Oryzias latipes: one gene and its partners. The protein of the gene in region 1 purifies or fractionates together with the protein of each later gene. This does not show direct contact. Links are inferred from orthologs where the notes say so. Each region holds a gene or a part of one and is shown in the gene's direction. Other genes may lie near its edges.

What was found.
Region 2: the proteins of polr3e (region 1) and gpn3 purify together in Homo sapiens (affinity purification with mass spectrometry; 3 studies listed by BioGRID and IntAct, counting the BioPlex papers as one, with this or other methods). This does not show direct contact. The link is inferred for Oryzias latipes from reciprocal best matches to the Homo sapiens genes POLR3E and GPN3.
Region 3: the proteins of polr3e (region 1) and uri1 purify together in Homo sapiens (affinity purification with mass spectrometry; 4 studies listed by BioGRID and IntAct, with this or other methods). This does not show direct contact. The link is inferred for Oryzias latipes from reciprocal best matches to the Homo sapiens genes POLR3E and URI1.

The regions. Positions count from the first base shown.
Region 1 is NC_019877.2:13,143,075-13,146,827, reverse strand, and holds the start of polr3e (DNA-directed RNA polymerase III subunit RPC5), read left to right. Parts: upstream 1-1,051; 5' UTR 1,052-1,119; exon of another isoform or gene 1,120-1,195; intron 1,196-1,251; exon of another isoform or gene 1,252-1,417; intron 1,418-2,139; 5' UTR 2,140-2,186; coding exon 2,187-2,225; intron 2,226-3,281; coding exon 3,282-3,332; intron 3,333-3,753. UniProt on the Homo sapiens protein: DNA-dependent RNA polymerase catalyzes the transcription of DNA into RNA using the four ribonucleoside triphosphates as substrates.
Region 2 is NC_019870.2:16,801,800-16,805,552, reverse strand, and holds the start of gpn3 (GPN-loop GTPase 3), read left to right. Parts: upstream 1-1,576; 5' UTR 1,577-1,691; coding exon 1,692-1,739; intron 1,740-1,895; coding exon 1,896-2,004; intron 2,005-3,753. UniProt on the Homo sapiens protein: Small GTPase required for proper localization of RNA polymerase II (RNAPII). May act at an RNAP assembly step prior to nuclear import.
Region 3 is NC_019864.2:30,477,066-30,480,818, forward strand, and holds the start of uri1 (unconventional prefoldin RPB5 interactor 1), read left to right. Parts: upstream 1-977; 5' UTR 978-1,295; coding exon 1,296-1,370; intron 1,371-1,751; coding exon 1,752-1,786; intron 1,787-2,762; coding exon 2,763-2,841; intron 2,842-3,014; coding exon 3,015-3,150; intron 3,151-3,753. UniProt on the Homo sapiens protein: Involved in gene transcription regulation. Acts as a transcriptional repressor in concert with the corepressor UXT to regulate androgen receptor (AR) transcription.

The DNA.
Region 1 (3,753 bases):
TGGCTGCTCTCTCACCATCTTCTACACCTTTCCTTTCATTCTTGCTAACATTTTTCTTTTGTCTCACATCATACCTAAACCTTCCTCCACCCATTACAACCTGTCTGCATATGCCTCTACAACCAATCTGTTGTTCTAGACTGGAAATCCTCCCCATCTTCTGCAGCGGACCTTCAGTCCTCTCCTTTCCACGTCAAACCCCCACCTCTCTAGTTGTTCTTCCACTTCCTTTCTGCTTTCAATGCATGTCATTTGCAGACATCATGGTCCACAGAGATTTCTGTCTAACTTCATCTGTCAGTCTGTTCATCACCACACAAACAAGGAAGACCATCTCACCACTGCCTCACACCTCTCATACATGTCCAATTTCCATTGGCACCCTGTGGATGACTGTACCATTGGTGGTTGTTGTTACACCTTTGCCACGATTAGTATAAAATTTATTGTTGTAGTTTGCACGACTGTATTGACTTTGGTTTTACTGGGTGCCCTTCATGACACAACCCTTTGTATTTACAAACCATCTCACAATTCCCTGTTTAAAATTGAACCGTGTGTTTCACCATTGAACTGAACAAAATCGTGGAGAAAGTGAATTGTTGCATCTCGACTGGATACCACTAGGGTGACGTTGAGTGACAATGAGTTGTTTTAAATTTAACACAACTGATTGACACTCAATTGTGTTAAATGTAGGAAGTATTTATTGATTCTTTATTCTTTAAGTAAATTATACCAGTCTTAGTGTAACCCAGGTATAAAAGGTTTCTCTTCATTGGTACTTACCTATTTCCAAATAAAAAAAAAACTTTTCCGAATGTCTCGGTTCTTGTTGTTTCGTGATACACAATTCATATATACATATACGGCACGTATATATATATGTCCCATGTCCTTTAGCCGGACATGGGACAGGTAATGCGTCGTGCAGCCTTGTGGTTGCATTTATAATTGAACATGAATAGGCAGCGTTCAGCTGCCTATGGACTATGATGACACATTTTCCTTCGCAATGCATCACGGTAGCGTGGCCGAGCGGTCTAAGGCGCTGGATTAAGGCTCCAGTCTCTTCGGGGGCGTGGGTTCGAATCCCACCGCTGCCAAGAATTCTTTTTGGTACGTCGTTGTTTTTCCTCAACGCTTGATCTAACAGTTAAAGAAAACACATGCAGAACGAATTAGTGAATAAAAGGTAAGTTAAAGTAAATAGGTTATAAAGACACGTGACAGTGCTCAGTTCCGCAGTTTGGTCCGAATAGCATTATTTGCACGAGCACGTCCAACTCCCCACGTGTCTGTTGAAACAGCGTCAACATCATGGTACCTCAAGCCCGGTAGTTTGCTTCAAGTCTAGTAGTTCACTCATGGACTGTTCTTGAACGTGTTATATATTTAAACTGCAGGGGGTGAGCAGGTGAGGCCTCACGCTGTTTCTATGGGGATGCCACATGTCCAAAGTGCTAAATCTGATGTTTTGTCTTGTTTATCATAAATCTCTGATGTGTGTGTTAGCACGCTAAGCTACATTACTCTGGTTAGCTTAGCTACAGCCTACCTTCAGTTTTGGAATTTTCAGAAAACTCCACAGTTAAAAGTGTCGTTCGTCTCTGTCTACTTAAGCGCGTATTTGTAAAGAAATGTTATTTTGAGTGTCTCTGTTGTGGGGGCCTGTGGCTAGTAATTTAAAGAGCTGATGCTTGCTAGGCTAATGAAGCTAACGAAGCAAGAACTATCTGACTTTTCTGAACTGTGGGCCTGCAGAAAATTGTGTAACCAACATAAATCACAGATTGACAAGGATGCTGGACGTCGTTTGTATTTAGGGAAGTGAAAAACTTCAATTTTTTGGATGGTTGCGTACTATTACATCAGTTTCGCCGTGATGGGTCCGTGAAAGCATCATCTGACATGCTGCATCATCACAGATTAGTTTAGATCGCATATAGATACAGAAATGTAACTTGTTATACGTTTAACTACCAATGAAACACTTTTTTTTTTTTTTACAAATATAATGTACATCTGGATTACTAGGACTTCTGTTAAACCTTTCTGTTCTTTTGGATTACCTGCTGTAGCATATTAAAAGCAGTGTTAATCAATGACGGATTCTTGCTTTGCATTTATTTTGTCCAGGTTGAAGTCCTCTGATATATCACTGCTGCTCCCCTGATCCTATAGATATGGCCAGTGGAGATGAAGATGATCCAATTATAGAGGAGGTATGTTTACGTCTGGAATTTAAATAAAGTTTCAATCCTCTTCTGATCACTGCTATGCAGCAACTTTGAGCCATGAGAAATATGTATTTGAATGAATGAATTAAACTTTATTGATCTCAAAAATAAGGAAATGACCATGTTTATGGGTAAATGTAGTTCCCATTAAACTAGCATGTATTAGTGTTTGTTTTAAGCTAATTTGAAGACGTTTTTCTGTGGTCTGCGGTCGATTGAAAAACAATCCAACATGCTGTTGTCTAACAATTCATCTGTGTTTACACTGTGACCTTCTCTAAAGAGAATGGAAACTACTGACAGCCTCTGAAATCGGTCACATATTTACATTAAACAACATTAACAGTATTAGGCAAGTGGTTTGGTTTTTCCAAACGCATTTTAATTAGAGTGGTTAATTTTCACATACATGTCCTCCATCATCATAAAAAAAAAAAACAATTTTCATCAGAGTGTGGGTCATCAGTTTCTTTGGGAAACCCCCCCAAAAAAGAAGAGCCTCTGAGTTTTGCAGCATTTTTCCTATAACCTGATCTGCAGGATTGCATATTGAGCCATATGTACAAAAAGGAGTGCCGCTGCTTTGGGGTTTTCAACTGGAAATGTCTCCTTCAGTTTACACTTGGTGTGGGAGTTTTAGTGTGTAGATTAGCAGGTGGTTTGTACAAAATGCCCAAGGAAGCCTTTTGTGCCATTGTTTAAGAGAAGTTGTTGTGTTTAAGAGGCAGATGTATTCATAGGCAGAAAAACCTTTTTGGTATTGTTTATTAATATGTTTTCAAAAAAACTATTTTTTAATTGACTTTTTGTGTACTTATGTTTCATGCACTTTAGGAAGCAACGTTATGTATGTAAAGTGCTAAACAAATAATGTTTAGTTTAACAATTTTCTTATTTATTATGTTTTAAGACATTTTATTTAGATAACTACATGAATAGAAATGCAGTTAAGACTCATATAATATTACGTTGAAAACCTTGAAGCTCAGAGTCATTTGTGCAGAGTGGAAAAGTCTGATTTTCATTTGTGTGTTTCTGTAGATTGACGTGTACCTCGCCAAAAGCCTCGCAGATAAGCTCTATCTTTTCCAGGTAAGCATTTCCTTCATTATTGTGCCTGTTTTTATATTCTGCTTAAAACCTTTTACTTTCCTCATGGTCAATGCTTTTTATTTTTATTTTTTTATTTATTTTTTTTACTGTTAAATGGAAGTCAGTTGAATGTGTTAGTCACATAAATATACACATAAAAAGGAAAAATTGAATTCAAAATTATTATTCTTTTTCTGTTTTGAGAGCCACAAACATAATGAATAAGCATTTTTTCTGCCCTTTCAGATGTTTTGTTGAAAATGTGTAACTTGCACCAAACCCATTTCAATTATCTTGATTTTAATGAAATGTTTCTGTTAAAATTTGTTCTTCAAAATGTTCCTTTTTTAGTCATTTATTCCTTAAGCTTTTAATTATTTATCTTTAATAACAGATTAATAAAATAGTATTTTTTCTAAAC
Region 2 (3,753 bases), on another chromosome or scaffold:
ACAATTTAACAGAACAAAGAGAGTGGATAATTGTTGAAAGCTGGACTCTTTTGGGGTTTTGTTACCTCATTCCTGAGCAGCTTATCGAGAATTCTTGAAAGCAAACGTCATTTGTAAACAATTAATGTTTACTTATAGGTTCATTTATCTTAACGGAGGTTTTCAGACCTCATTACTTTTTAACGCTACACAAACGATTATTATAGTCATTTATAACTAGGATTTAAAAAAAGAGAGGATTATTATCGCTCGTAAACAAATACAGAGCCTTATGCTAACAACAAACCTTAAGGTAGTTCCTGAAGTGAAACTATTTCATATCACGTAAATCGAAAGCACTGACGAAAATTAACATGAACGTGTTTCAGACAGCAAAAAAAAATACAACAAAAAAAGAAAACATTTGTTTTAAAAAATAGAAAAACAAAGACTTGCCATAGTTAGTAGTAGTAGTAGTACCTGCTAAGAAGTCCACCGTCACGCGGTAATGTCTGTACACAAACTTGGCCTGTTAACTCCATTCACTTCCTCGAAACATACTATTAATTTAAGCGCCTGATGAAGGACGCAATCAACAAACTTGGTGAGCAGGAAGGCTTGCATACGTTTCCAAATTTCACCTGATCATCGCATGTTGATGCAGTCACTTTCTACTTCTTACTCAATTTTGGTGGTTTCGTTTGTTGACAGCAAAGATCCCTGGGGCTCTACCGCTCCCTAACGGCCAGTTTGTGAACAACTTATTGTCATGATCTTTGCTTTAAGTTTCATGGTTATCGTGGTCATATCATAGGCAGTTTAAACGACTTGTTCAAATAAATACATATGGTTTTAATAAAGCAATTTTAAAGTTAAAGAGCAAAATTTTTCATTTCCTGGGGAAACTTAAAAAAATGCCACAACTGACACTGCCACAGAATTTGCGACTCAATGGTAATTGACACACAAAAAGAAAACAATTGTTGCACAGTATTTTCCTCACTATATTGGTTCAATGCTCATCATCAGTACATTCGTATGGAAGATTTCTGTAGTATATTTTAAAATGAAAGTCAATACCAGAAATGCTTTTTCAATTTTTAAAATGAAGCTGCATTTGTAATAATTTATAATAAAAAAAAAAACAATCCGACCAAACCACTTTTTCTTTTTCTTCTTCTTCAACACAGCTCATTCTGTCACTTAATTAAAATGAGAAAGAAAATGGTATTCGACATTTTTTACTAAATGTGTAGCATAATGTAATTAGAAATATCTTCTTTGATCATCAAAGTTTATTAACAGAAATGCTTTTTCATTTTGAAAATGTAACTGCATCAAGTGAATTAAAAAATAAAATTACAAACGAATGAGCCAATCTGCTTTTCTTTTTCTTCTTCAACACCGCTTATTCTGTGGCATAATTAAAGCGAAAATGCAAAGATGGGATTGCATTTTTGTTTTCACATCCACCGTGCGAAAGGTGTAATAATTCATCACCAGTTCATTCCATTGTGGCTCTTTTTCAGACCACTGTCACCCTGACTTCCATTTCCTCTTTTGATCAGTAGGTGGCAGTAATGAGCCTGACCGTAAATCATCTACCGGAGAAGAAGAAGTAGCGTCATCACACCGATGCGTATGGCATTACAAGCTAGCGTCTGTGGTTAAAGATACTTAAGATCTTTATCACACCGCATTTTTCAGAGAAAATGCCTCGCTATGCCCAGTTGGTGATGGGCCCGGCTGGTAGCGGAAAGGTATGTTTTCAAAAATGCCACTGGATGGTCTACAGCCTCTTGTCTGTTGTTGCTAACAGTACATGAGGTGGTGTCAGTCACCCAGCGTGTTTTTATTTTGTTATTGTGTTTTGCCATTAATTGTATCTTTTTAAAATATTATTATTAATATTTCAGAGTACGTACTGCTCCACCATGACCCAGCATGCAGAGGCTTTGAACCGCTCAGTTCAGGTGGTCAACCTGGATCCAGCAGCAGAACACTTTAATTACCCTGTTATGGCAGGTTAGTATGCTCAAAATGAACCGTTTGTGTCTCCAAATATGAAAACAAAAAAATTAAAAAACGATCATGTTGTCATGGTAATCCATCTATGACAGCAGGATGTCCTTTCTGACGTTGGTAAATCCTTGTTAAAGTCTTGAGATCTGTTGAACCTAATTTACTTTTGTTTAAAAAAAAAGTATTTTATTGAATCTTTAAGTTTATATAATAATAATAACAATATTAATAATAATAATAGTGGATTGGATCTTTCTGCGCTTTTCCAGACGCTTAAAGTGCTTATTATGTGTCCATTATTCATTCACTCCTAAGTCATATTATGGATACACCTCAGTATTGAGAGATAGAATGTTACAAATTAAAGACTTCATTTGTAAAGTGAAGTAGAAAATAAGTATTTGGTCAATATCAAAAGTTCATCTCAATTCTTTTGATAGAGGTCAGACATTTTCATTGGGTCTTCTCTTTTGGTCCATTTCTCCATGTAGATCTCCTCAAGAGCTTTGACGTTACTGAGCATCACAGACTTTCATCTCCCTCCACAGATTCTCTATTGGATTGAGGTCCACAGTCTAGCTAGACCACTCCAGAGCCTTAAAATGGTTCATATTTTGCCACTTTTGTGTTGCCTAGGCCAGTGTTTTTCAACATTTTTTGAGCCACGGCACACTTTAACCTTGACAAAGACACAGCGGCACACCAGCATCCAAAAAAAAACTCAGTCTGTATTGATCGACAGCCCCCCCCCCCCGCAATCTCACGTGCATTTTTGTGATAATTGGGGCAGAAAAAACAGGAAGTTGCAGCTGTTTTTTCTAAAAGATGAAATAAAAGTTAAGTTAGAAAATTCAAAAACTGTTTCATGTGTGTTTGTTGTGGTTTCAAGACATTTAACAAGGACGACTCATTGTACGCTAAGACGCTGTCCCTTTAACCCAGTGCATCGTGGGAGATGTAGTGTGAAAACTGCCGCAAAAGGGCAGAAGCTTCAATGTTTTGTTCACTTGTTCCACGGTCTGACACCGGATTCTGTGGAAAGCTACACCGCTAAAGACGACCTTTGGCTGGTATTTTTGTTAGAACCGAGAGACTTTATGAGCTAAATCGGGACAAGGAAGTGAAGACTTTAACCACTTCTGATTGGTCAGACTGATGACATGTGATTAAACCTTCAAGAATGATTGGCGGAGACAGTTAAAGGGGCGGGACTTTTCCTAAAACAGCTAAAGCTGCAGCCAAATCGCGGTACCGTCATTCTTATCAAAATGTCTTTAATAGAATCAAATAAACACAAAGAAAAAATAATTTTGTGATCTTTTATATTCCTAACTACTCAGTGTTTTATCAGGGCCTGTTTGGATGAACACAGAGCTGATTTCCTGGAGATGGGAAATGTTTTTAGATCAGTTAATGAGGGCAATTTCCCACGGCACACTGGACCATCTCCCACGGCACACTAGTGTGCCGCGGCACACTGGTTGAAAAACACTGCTCTAGGCAATGTGTTTGAGATTTTTGTCATGCTGGAAGATCCAGGCACATTTCATCCTCAGTACTCCCACTGAAAGAAGAAGTTTTCTTTTGCCCAAAATCTCTCCATTCATCCTTTTCGTAACAAGGATCAGTTGTAATGTCCAGTGAGCAGAAACACAGGCCCAATTCATGATGTTTCCACCCCCATGCTTCACAGTAGGTAATGTGTTCCTGGGATGTGAATTGGCGATCTTTCGCCGCAAAAAACTGCAAGTG
Region 3 (3,753 bases), on another chromosome or scaffold:
TGTTCGGTTGTCAAAAAAAGAATAAATAAAAACTTGAATTATAAGAAAAACAACAATGGAGTTACGGCTCATTTTAAATGTTTAAACTGTTTTTCGTCCTCTTTTTCTGGTAAATTAAACTAATCGTAACATTAGTAAAAGGTTTTTCCACATGGTTCTAAAGTAAGCAAATGATAGTTAATTTTTAAGGTAATTGGATCTGTGAACACTGTGAATGTATAACTGCAATCCAGTCATCATAAATGATAATTTGAGAAACAGGTGTGTTGTGCTATTTGAACACCACAGATGCAGAAAGTTGTCACATTTCGTGTTTAACTAAAATTAGAAAAAGTTGAAGAAGGCCTGTAAGTCAGTATTCCGGGCTGCAGCTGTAAAGTTTGATCAAAAGTGAACATAAAACTGTGATTTTTGCTGTAATGACGTTATATTAAATGCCGACATCAAGAAAATGGATATTTTAACTAAAAGCAATAATTCGCTGTTCAAATCCAACAGAACATCCTTTATTGCATCTTCTTTCAACTATTTATAGTGCATCCAATTGCAACGCATGCAGACTAAAGTTTTTTTTTCTGAACTGACAGTTTAATTAAAGCTAGAAGTAATATTTTTTTTCTTTAACGTGTGTTTCTGTTTGTTAGTTTTTATACGTTTTAATGCTTGTACAGCTCTAAGTTAAGATTCGGTTTATTTTTTATGTTTCGTAAAATATTTACAATACTAAACATTTACCCAGAGTGCACTCTGGTAGACTTTTCTAGACGTCAAACAGAAATGACACGCTTGGTTTTCAAAGTAAGAGCGAACATTTAGATAACGTGTTAACATTTTAAGAAAAACACATGTAAGATACGTGATAACGAAGATTAAATTGGCATGTAATTTATGGTTTGGTGTTTTGGGAGAAACTTGCATAAAAAAACGTTGCCCACTCCAAGTCTCTTCCGTTCACGGGTTTTATTTTGAAACTAAAAACCGGAACAGCTCCCGTTTCTTCCCCTGTGGGTCGATCTGCACAGCGAAAGAAGCGAGGAGTTCTCTGCTAACCTCTGGATCCAAACTCGGCGGATTTTTTTGGAGATCATGCAGAAGCCGTGAAATGAGCGTGTGAGATGATATCACCTTCGGACGTGAGGATTACCGTCGATGCCCCGTTGATGAAGGCGCGCGGGACGGGCCTCCGGAGGAGCTGCTGCTGCTGCGTTCATAAACACTTCTTTAGGACTCACAACAAACCCTGAGCTTTGGTGCTCCTCAGAGCCCCAAGGCACCTGTGCACGTGCGGAGTAAGGATGGCTGGAGGAGGAGGTAAAGCGAACATGAAGCCCCTCGGCGGGGTTCACAGGCTCCGAGAGGAGCACGAGAAGGTAAGAGGAGCGCGTGAGCAGATCTGCAGCTGCGGGCCACGAGGCTTGTTTCCTTCTGAAAACATCCTCCTCTGCAGACATGAGCCGCAAATACGGAGAAAGAAGATTCGTTTCTTTTCTTTGCCCTGCTTCAGGTGAATTAGATCAACCCACAAGCCCCTCCCCCAAACCTTTACCTGAGCTTTTACTCCTGCAGGTTGTTTGGTTTCAGACTCCATGTTTACAGGCTGCCTTTGCTGCTAACTTCTGTTTTTTCTCTCTCTCTCTCTTTCTCTCTGTTTGGCTAATAAGGAACACAAAACTCAGTTTGATAGCATGAAAACATGTATGTTGTGTTGAACGTGTCATGTTGTTCATGAAAGCATTTTTTTCCTGCATCAGGTGGTGAAAGACTGTGACTCACGGATTCAGCATTGGTAAGCTGCACAGTCCTGAAAGTTTCTCCTCTTCTACGGTTTCCTCTCTGCTTTGAGTGTGAATGTGTACGACTTGGATATGAATGCAACAAAGACGCTCAAAGTTTGCAGGAGAATAACCCCCCTCCCTTTTTTTTAAGCTGCAGTCATGGATTTAGATGATCGCATTTTCAATTTTAGAACTTGACGGTTAAAGCTTCCCATATTATTTTCCTCATATGGCAAAGACAAAAGTTTTTCTAGGATTTAGCAGTCTATCGCCACAGCATGATACTTCCGCCACCCTGCTTTACCATGGAGACACGCCCCCACAGAAGACTAGTTTAGCTCCTAAACCGTCCCTCGCCCACAGTCGGCCCTGATGCAACATTTCCTTTTGTGGTCCGTTAGCAACTTCCATATTTTTGCAGAATTCTCCCCTTTTTCTTTGCTTTCTCTTTCATTTTCTAGGATGTATGAGAACAAAATAATTCAGAAAGATGCAAAAAACAAACCAGATCAGCCAATTTAAACTCCACTATCTGATGAGGTTGACATCGTTTACTCGCACCAGGCGAATAATCTTAAGAAATTAGGTAATAATTGGCGTTTATTTGTTTAGGGAAACGTTTATTTTTTCTGCTCTGTTTTTTTTACTATATAAACTATAAACTTTCAGGTTATTTTGTGAGTTATACTCTTGTAAAAATGTAGTTTAAATGCATTTAAATGTCCTTTTTTCCTTAAAGATTTTCAGCAGTCATTTATTTTGGTTTTGTTTACAGTCTTCATGAAGGCGTAAAAGTTTTTTTTAATCTCTAATGCAAGTTAATAAAAGTTAAGATGTTTTGGTTTAAAGTAGTTTTCCTTATAGATGATTGTCATTGCCCCCTTGTGGCCATCTGAGCAATAACATCCTTTAACTTTACTCATCATTTTATACCCAAATCGCATCAATTGGGTTAAATTCTGAATATTTCTGTGACCCGACCTGCAGGATGAAGGTGTCGGGTGATTACGACGCGCTCAGCGATCGACTCAAAACCCTCCCAGACCGGCTCTCCTATGACATCATGGTGAGCGCTCGCCGTTTCACTTGACAAGTTTACAGAGTGACCCAAAAACCAAAACTTTACTGGAAGTTCTGTGTCTCCCGTTTGCTCCATGTTCGCGCCCACTTCCTGTCAGCTGCTCTGACTAACCCGGTTCTGTTCTGTGGCCCGTCCGGGCCTCCTTGTGCTGTGAGCAGGTGCCCTTCGGCCCGCTGGCCTTCACGCCCGGCAAGCTGGTGCGCACCAACGAGGTCACCGTGTTGCTGGGCGACAACTGGTTCGCCAAGTGTTCGGCCAAACAAGCCCAAGCGGTGGTGGATCACAGGATGAAGCGTGAGTTTCTGAACGGCGGCGTGTGGCTGCAGAGCGGCGGCCTGTGGCTGCAGAGCGGCGGCCTGTGGCTGCAGAGCGGCGGCGTCTCCAGCGGGGGGCGGCAGTGCGTCACATTCCGACAGCCTGAGCTTTACTTTACAGACGTTTCTGGGCTCAGGATGAAGTACGTCTTTGTGTAAAAGCGTTTGGACTCGTTCTTTACGTCAGTGACGGCTGCAGGCTTAGCCCCCCCCCCCCCCCCCCCCCACCACCACACTTTTGTGGCCAGGTTATAGACCGCTATGGTCGTTTGGCGTGTTGTCCGGACGCTACAGCCTTTACCTCCACATAAAAAAACCCTCTCTGATTTGAACATTATTAGACTGTTTAGTGAAGCAGAAATGCCCCCCCCCCGCCCCCCCCTCTCCTGACCCCCGCCATCCCTGCTATTACACAGCTAAGTGCTGTAATGCAAACACAGCGAGCTGAAATGTGTCAGACAGCGGCTGAGCTGTCTGGCCTTCTGCGTTTGACCTTTCCTCACTTCCAGTTGATGCACTGACTGGAGGGGCTCGCCATCGCCATGGAAACAAGGGCCCTCTGCTGCTATTAGTGAAAGGGCTT